Linked DNA regions of Mus musculus. The protein of the gene in region 1 binds, or shares a complex with, the protein of each later gene. Links are inferred from orthologs where the notes say so. Each region holds a gene or a part of one and is shown in the gene's direction. Other genes may lie near its edges. The genes, in order: Eif3g and Eif3k.

What was found.
Region 2: Eif3g (region 1) and Eif3k share a complex: the UniProt entries of both Homo sapiens proteins name them as parts of the eukaryotic translation initiation factor 3 (eIF-3) complex. The link is inferred for Mus musculus from reciprocal best matches to the Homo sapiens genes EIF3G and EIF3K.

The regions. Positions count from the first base shown.
Region 1 is NC_000075.6:20,895,654-20,899,921, reverse strand, and holds the start of Eif3g (eukaryotic translation initiation factor 3 subunit G), read left to right. Parts: upstream 1-1,331; 5' UTR 1,332-1,358; coding exon 1,359-1,378; intron 1,379-1,497; coding exon 1,498-1,544; intron 1,545-1,754; coding exon 1,755-1,838; intron 1,839-1,945; coding exon 1,946-2,034; intron 2,035-2,155; coding exon 2,156-2,215; intron 2,216-3,701; coding exon 3,702-3,806; intron 3,807-3,904; coding exon 3,905-4,094; intron 4,095-4,268. UniProt on the Homo sapiens protein: RNA-binding component of the eukaryotic translation initiation factor 3 (eIF-3) complex, which is required for several steps in the initiation of protein synthesis.
Region 2 is NC_000073.6:28,978,787-28,983,115, reverse strand, and holds the start of Eif3k (eukaryotic translation initiation factor 3 subunit K), read left to right. Parts: upstream 1-1,227; 5' UTR 1,228-1,383; coding exon 1,384-1,442; intron 1,443-2,573; coding exon 2,574-2,672; exon of another isoform or gene 2,673-2,797; intron 2,798-4,329. Other genes in the region: Map4k1 (mitogen-activated protein kinase kinase kinase kinase 1), read right to left, coding at 62-160. UniProt on the Homo sapiens protein: Component of the eukaryotic translation initiation factor 3 (eIF-3) complex, which is required for several steps in the initiation of protein synthesis.

The DNA.
Region 1 (4,268 bases):
CACATTGAGACATGAATGTTCAACAAGGAAAGTCTCTTGCCACCGTTGAATACCCAACCAATGGGAGCAGGATACGTGTAAGGCAAAACCATGTTCCCAGGTAAACCCCCCATTTCTGAATCCTGATTGGTGATGTGACTTGGCCCAGATGTTTGTGGATTTGAGGCTTAAAAACCCTGCAGGATCTTAAGTCAGGGTCACAGTTCAGGTCCTGAATCTGGACTGTGGCCCTGGTTAACCAGTCCTGACATGTATGCTCAATAAAGTGCCTCTCTCTGACTGAGACTGGGGCTCGTGTGGTCTGTGAGGGGACTCCTGGACCACAGCAGGAGGCTGGCTGCCAAGCCTGAAGGCCTGAGATCAATCCCAAGACCCACATAGTGGAAGGAGAGACTGTCTGCAAAGTGTCCCCTGACCTCCATGTGTGCTATGTATGCACAAGCATGCTGTCTTCAAATAATACAAACGCACAACAAGGTTGTAGGATAAACCCTAGCATGCTACACAGCAAAGGAGGCACAGGAGACCAGGTGGCCTCTTATTCAAAGAAAGGACGTCTTAGCACAGGACAAAAGGGTTTGGTCTGAGTCTGTTTCTTCTTCAACAAACCAGAATCCTGGTATCCTCTAAACGATGTGGGGCGAGGGCATTCTTGATACACGTGCTTTTCAGCCAAGCTTGTTGGCACACAATTATAGCCCCAGCTATTTGTGAATTCCTTGCGTTTAGGAGTTCAGGGGCAAGCCTGGGGAACAAAGCAAGACACCTTTAGTTTTGGAGACAGAGTCGCATGGAGCGCAGGCTAGTCTGGAATCCACGAGGTAGCTGAAAATGGCCTTTAACTCATAATTTTCCAGCTTCCACCTCCAGCACTGCGATTACTGATGGCTGAAAACTAATTCTCCGGGAAGAGGGAGAGAACGAATCAGTTCCGGGTGTGGCGATTTCATGTTCATATTCCCAGCACGGACGAGAGTAAGGTGGAAAGACAGCTATGAATTCAAGGCCACCCTGGGAATACTGCTCGTGAGCCTGTACTTTCAGCCTTTTGGAGTTGAGACAGGATTGTGAGGCTATCCTATCTATAGAGTGAGACACTCACGTCTAGCCCCATTACCCAAAGGGGGAAAAAAAAAGTTTAAAAAGTTCTTTGAAGCTTTTTTTTGGACCCCTTTTCCAGGTTGGATCTCAGCGCTTTGCGGTGCGCGAGAGCCGCGTGTCCACCTTTGTCCGCAGGGAGGCGCTGTGCTCACCGCGGTCTGGCCGCTCTAGGCTGCGGCCGCGGCACCGGAAGCCTCTTCTACTCCGGCTTCCTGTCTTTACCCGGGCTGGGAGCTGCGTGGAGTTAAGACTTCGAGATGCCGACTGGCGACTTTGAGTATGCGTGGGGTGGCGATGGGGTCGCCGGGGAGGCCGCGTGGGGGCTGCTCTGGGGTGCGTGGGGGTCTGGGCGGCGCGGGGGGCCGGGACCCGCTCACCAATCTCCTGTCCCCGCAGCTCGAAGCCCAGCTGGGCCGACCAGGTGGAGGAGGAGGGAGAGGACGGTGAGTGCCGAGCGTGGCCGCGCCCGCTGCCTGTTCCCGGGGCCCACGCTCCGGCTAGGGCCGCGCGTGGCCAGCCCCACCCTCGCCCTGCGCTGTGCCCCCGGTGCAACCCGCAAACACACAACACACACACACACACACTCTCTCTCTGACTTGAAAGTTCCCGTCCCGTGGCTCACTCTACCTTCCTCCCCGAATTCCCTCTGGCAGACAAATGTGTCACCAGCGAGCTCCTGAAAGGAATCCCTCTGCCCACCGGGGACACCAGTCCAGAGCCCGAGTTACTGCCCGGAGGTGAGCAGTGTCCATCCCTGCCTGCTTCCTCTTCCCTTCCGACTCTCAAGCCTACTTTCCAGCCAGTCCCCATTACCCGGGAATCAGTTTCTGTCATCTTCCTCCAGACCCGCTGCCACCTCCCAAGGAAGTCATCAATGGGAACATAAAGACAGTGACTGAGTACAAGATAGAGGAAGATGGGAAGAAATTCAAGGTGAGGTCGAAGTGGACACATAGGGCCAGTGCCTTTGTGTTCAGGGGTTCAGGTGGAGGGGTGTCAGTGGCTGAGACAGGGCCTGAGGCTCTGGAAGCACTCCTCTCTTATTCATCTTCAGATTGTCAGAACCTTCAGGATTGAGACCCGGAAGGCATCAAAGGCTGTGGCAAGGAGGAAGGTGAGATTCTACCTCATTTGGGGGGTAGGGTGTTCTCTGGGGCTGATCCTGAGGAGTTGGGAAGCCCCTTTTTGTTGATGTGGAGTAAACGTTTAGTGTTAGGCCTTGAAAGGTTAGGGCCCAGGAGTAGATGAAGTTAGATGCTTTATTTATTCATTTACTTTTGTTTTTTTATTGTTCTCCTTTTGTGTGCGGATGTGCGCAGCATCATCCCCCCCAGCACATGGCACAGCATACTTTTGGTTTGAGCTGGTCTCTCGGTATTAGGAACTAGACTAGGCTTGCTGGGCACTAACAGCCCCAGGGACCCTGCTGTCCCCACTTCCTGTCTGGCCTGCACCGGGAATGCAAGTTTGCCTCTGTGCACAGTGTTTGACTGTGGGTGCTCGGGGTCAGAGTCTGACGGACACTTGTGTGACAGACACTGTACTGAGACATACCCAGCCCTCTTGGGTTTTATTGTTTGTAGTTTGTTTTTCCAGACAGGGTTTCTCTGTGTAGCCCTAGCTGTTCTGAACTCACTCTGTGGTCTAGGCTGACCTTGAACTCATAGATCCACATGCATTAGGATTAAAGGCATTGCCACCATTTGCTGGCTTGTTATTTTTGAGAGGCTCTAGCTCTGGTCTTCATTCTAAATGCTTCTGCCTCAGCCTCCTGCATCCTGACCTCCATTCTCTCTCCTTTGACCTGTCTACATGAAGAAGCAAGCAGCCTCTACTTACCTAGGGGGGAGGGCTTGTAGAGGAGGGACAGCGACGCTTGAGAGCAAGGTCCCGTGCCAGCGTTCAGCAAGACACAGCTTCTCAGGCTCCAGGCCAGCTTAGGGAGGCAGGGAGCTTTGTGGCCCCTGTTTTACAGGCAGGAAATGAGTTTCAGGTTTAACTGGCTCGGTTCCTAAGGTCTGGGTGATTCCTCCTTTGTCCCTGGTGGGAGGCTGGCCATGGAGCAGCCCAGAAACTGCCAGCGGCACAGTGGAGCCCTGTACTCAACCTTTTTTTTTTTTTTTTTTCTCAAGACAGGGTTTCTCTGTATAGCCCTAGCTGTCCTGGAACTCACTCTGTAGACCAGGCTGGCCTCGAACTCAGAAATCTGCCTGCCTCTGCCTCCCTCCCAAGGGCTGGGATTAAAAGCGTGCGCCACCATGCCCAGCATGTACTTAACCTTTTATATGAGTGTTAGAAAGTGTACTGCACGTTTTCACACGAGCTACCTTACCAGCACCTACCTCAGATAACTCAGGCTGGTTTTGAGCTTGCGTGTCTTGAGGTCCTCCTGTTTGCACCTGGCAAGTGTTGGGGTGACAGTTGTGTGCCACTGTGTTTAGCTTAGGGAATGGGGATTGTCACCATTACCACAGGGAAGGCCTCTAGAGAGACTAGATCTTCGGATTCAAGGCCCCGGAATGGTTGTCTGTCTGGGGTACCCACTGCAGGATCCTTCCTGTCTTTTCCTCACTTCTCCCCATTGTTTTCTGGGAGCCCAGAATTGGAAGAAGTTTGGCAACTCGGAGTTTGACCCACCGGGGCCCAATGTGGCCACTACCACAGTCAGTGATGACGTCTCTATGACATTCATCACTAGCAAAGAGGTGAGCTGGGTGAAGCTGGAGCCTGAGAAATGCAGTGGGGGTGGTGTGGGCCGGGCCCAGCAGCCTCCTCTGAGCCTTCCCTCCCTATACCCCACCAGGACCTAAACTGTCAGGAGGAGGAGGACCCAATGAACAAGCTTAAGGGCCAGAAGATTGTGTCCTGCCGCATTTGCAAGGGCGACCATTGGACCACCCGTTGCCCCTACAAGGACACACTAGGACCCATGCAGAAGGAGCTGGCTGAGCAGCTCGGCCTGTCTACTGGGGAGAAGGAGAAACTGCCAGGAGGTGTGGACGTGGGGACCTGGGAGGGTCTCAGCTGTTCTGTGGTAGTGTGCTCTTCTCTTCCCTGCATTACCTGTGGCCAAGTTTGAGTGGCTTCGGGCATGGTCATCCTGATGTGTGACTGATAGCTTACTCTAACTTGGGTATGCGTGCGTGCATGCGTGCGTGTACATATAT
Region 2 (4,329 bases), on another chromosome or scaffold:
TTGCCAGCCTCTCCCCAACTATCCCAGGGTTGTGGTGGAGGAGACAGAAGGGCTTTCTCACCTTGAATACTTCTCCATAAGTTCCACCACCCAGTCGTTGCAGTAGATCATAGTGTTCTCGAGGGTCCTTATTAAAAATGTCGGGGTCCACAAGGGCCATTCCTGGAGGCCGGGGCTGGGCCAGTGCCCAGGGGGCCAACAGGGCCTCAGGGTTCAAGCTTTGGTATTACCTTCTGTCTCCACACAAGTCCTGGGCCCGCCTTGACTCTGTGGGCTGTGGCCTTCCCCCTCCCCACTCTCGCTTCCTGCCCCAGCTGCAGGGCTGTGCAGAGGGCTGCACAGAGGGCTCCACCCCCGTCCCCTGGGTTCTGAGAGTTTGATCGCCTTGGGACCCATGGGACTCCCCTTTACCCACTGAAGGACACTATGTAAATAAGATGCAAAAGTTCTTAAATGCAACCTGGGGCTGACCTAGCACCCTCTCCCCAACACTCTATTTTGGGAGGAGTCATAGGTTACGGTTGAACCTCTGCTGGGTTCTTGAAGATCTGGAATCAAGCCAGAGGTTGCAGGTCTGCACAAAGCTGGCTAGGTTTCACAGAAGACCTGTTTACTCGTGACACATGCATGTGACTTAAGTGACAGCTGAGCTCAGGGCACCTGCCCGCATGGCACATGTCTGTGCAACGCTTCAAACGTGTAGGGAATCTGTGGCAGACGTGGAACACTTGTTAGTAGCCCCTACGCAGAGCCGATGGAGACTACAGGTGTCTTTTGCCTTCCCGGCCTCCTAACAGCACTGTAGCAGTACGGAACCGAGTGGGGACCAGCGAGGAAGTGAAGATACATACAAGATGCTGTCTCAGGCACCCAAGTCGGAGACAAGAAGGGCTTCAGAGAGCATCTCCCACCCGACTAAACTCAAAGAAAAGGAAACAGCAACCCTTCACGGGGCTAAACGCTTAAGGCTACGCATGCGTAGAGAAAATAAAGTCTCCTTTCCCCGTACAACTCCAGCGCACGCGCGTCAGAAGCTTAAGTACTAAGTTTGCGCGGCCCGGGAAAAGCTTAGCCCGCCTCCTGGCGCCTGCGTAGTAAGGCAGACTAAACCTTTTCTCACGCTATTGGTCTCTTTTAAGTGAGCTCATTGCGCATGCGCAAGTTACAACTGCTGGAAGGAAATCACGTGGTAGACAAAAAAAAAAAAAAAAAAAAACAACCGGCGCTGGTGCTGAAAGCGCCTTTCCCTTTGCCTTCCTTGTAGGAGCTGGAGGGAGGGTGTGACGCAGGTTCCGCTTCCTACACCTCTCTTCCGGTCCTCTAGTGCTAAGCACCGTGCCTGGTGTTCGACTCCAGCTGAGGCTGCCGAAGGCAACAGTGATCATGGCGATGTTTGAGCAGATGAGAGCGAACGTGGGCAAGTTGCTCAAGGGTATCGACAGGTCTGAATTCCGCTGAAGGGCGCTCTCTGGCCAAGCGGGGTGGAGAAGACGGGGAGCCAGCCAGGGGTGGCCAGGGCTCCACGCTCCTCCAGAGATGGAGTTTCTCCAAGTTTCTCTCCGTCCCTCAACTTTACCTTTTCTGCTGCCACAGACTCCCGGTGTCTTTTAGTCTCTTCCTTCTCTGTCCTTGTGGACCATCCTACATAGTGTTTTCTGATGTCTATTTGGCCAGTGGGGACCGGAGGTGATGGAAACGGGAACCGGTCCTGCGTTCCTGGACTTAGGTTCCCATTCCATCCTGGCGACAACCCCATTCAGCAGATAGTGACAATAAGGAGCGATCAGGGCCTGGTCAGGTCAAGCCACGTATTGAGATAGGCAGGAGAGGATGGAACTGGGTCAGAACGGGATCGAAGAGAAGGTGTTCAGGAAAACATACGGGCTGCAGAGACTGACTGAGGTTGGAGGCATCCTAGACATGACCAGGGGCTCAAGTAGGGCTAGCTAGAGGCCCATGTTAGGAAAAACATTTACTGGATGTTGTACAGTTAATTGATCAGCTATCTGGGTAGTTCCAGTGGGTGGGACTAACTTATTTATTTTAAGATCGAATGAATGTAATAAAGCTTCCTACAGATTTATTTAAAAAGAAAATAGCAAAGTGAGGAATATCCCATGGCCAGAATAAAAGCTGTAGGAAGAAGAGAGTGATTTCAGGTTAACAAATTACAGTGGTCCCTAAGGACTAGCCTCTGTTCTTCTCTTTGTTTACTCATGTCTGTCTGTGTAGTTATCTCCCTATCTTCCCCCCCCCTTTTTTTGTTTGTTTGTTTGTTTGTTTTTTGAGACAGGGTTTCTCTGTGTAGCCCTGGCTGTCCTGGAACTCACTCTGTAGACTAGGCTGGTCTCGAACTCAGAAATCCGCCTGCCTCTGCCTCCCAAGTGCTGGGACTAAAGGCGTGCGCCACCACTGCTCGGCTCCCTTTTTCCTTTTGAGACAGGTTTTCACTATTAATTGCAGACTAGCTTCAAACTTGCAATCCTCCTGTCCTGCCTCAGCCTCCTAGGTGCTGGGATGAAAGGCATGTAACCACTGTGCCAGGCTGTTCACCCATCTTGATGCTCTTCCAGGTACAATCCTGAGAACTTGGCTACCCTGGAGCGATATGTGGAGACACAAGCCAAAGAGAATGCCTATGATCTGGAGGCCAACCTGGCCGTCCTGAAACTGTGAGTGTCTGTCCCCACCCTCATACGAACAGCTGCCTAGCAGGAAGCCACTCTGGAGAGGGAACCTGGTGCAGAGGGGCCTGGGGCAAGCTGCAAGATGGGACTTCTCTTCGGTGTTTTAGAAGGTCAGATTAGGAGTTTTTGTTTTGTTTTTGTCTTTTTTATTTTATTTTATTTATTTATTTATTTATTTATTTATTATATGTAAGTACATTCAGACACTCCAGAAGAGGGCATCAGATTTTGTTAAGGATGGTTGTGAGCCACCACGTGGTTGCTGGGATTTGAACTCAGGACCTTTGGAAGAGCAGTCGGTGCTCTTAACCACTGAGCCATCTCACCAGCCCTGTTTTTGTCTTTAATCCATTCCAAAATCATACAAGATGGTCAATAAACAGTTGTGTTGCTAGACAGATTATTGTAAATGAAAATTCATTTTGTTAGTTTCACTGCCTCTTGGCTCACATGCTTTGCCCCATCAACCCCCCAGCTTAGGTAATCACTGTTGAGCCCTTATGGCCTAGCCTTGGGTCCCTTGAGTCAGCTTAGGTCAGGCCTGCTTTCTTTTTTTTTTTTTTTTTTTTTTTAAACAGTAGCTGGGCTTTTTTTTTTTTTTTTTTTAAAGATTTATTTATTATATGTAAGTACACTGTAGCTGACTTCAGACAATCCAGACGAGGGCGTCAGATCTTGTTACAGATGGCTGTGAGCCACCATGTGGTTGCTGGGATTTGAACTCCAGACCTTTAGAAGAGCAGTCGGGTGCTCTTACCCACTGAGCCATCTCACCAGCCCAGGCCTGCTTTCTTTTGAGCTCCGCTGTAATCACATAGCGCAAGCTTTTCTACACCAGAGATCTTCCTCTCGGCCCTGGGTTGGTGGCAGCCTTTTTCCTTGTTTCTTTTGCCCATATTCATGAGTGTGTGTGTGTGTGTGTGTGTGTGTGTGTGTGTGTGTGTGTGTGTAGGGGCTGTGTGTGCACACATGCGTGTGGAGCCTTGAGGTTGATAGCAGGCACCAGTCATTCTTCCACCTTATTCAGAGTCAAGGCCTCATTAAGCCCAGAATCCACCAACACAGCTTGTCTTGCTAACCAGCTTGCTCTTGGGATCCTCTGTTCACACCTCAGAGACCGAGTTCGAGACAGGCTGGCATGCCTACCTGGCATAAACATTTATTTTATTCTTTTTAATTCGTTTTGTTTTATGAGTGTGAGTTTTAAGTGTGGAGGTCCAAGGACAACTCGGAGCAGTCAATCTCGCTTTCCACCATTTTGTTTTGTTAAGTCCTGCCACTTACGATGTAGACCAGGGTAGCTTTGAGACTAACGGCGTGGGGCACCATGTCCAGCACTTTCCACCTTTCTGAGTGTCTGCCTCTGAATGCTGATTGGCCTACACACTTCTAGAAGATTCTGTTTCTCCTCTCCCCATGGCAGTGCTGGGCCTCCACATATACTCACTAAAGCCTGTTTTTACGAGTCCAGGAGATTTAGCCTGGGTCAGTGAGTTTACACAGTGTTTATGCTGACTGAGCCATCTCTCTGGTCCTTTTTCTGGTTTTGTTAATTAATTAATTTTCAGCCAGGGTCCTGTAGTGGTCAGTGGATTAGAACTTGCTATCAAGATGGCTTTGAACTCCTCAACCTCCCAAGTGT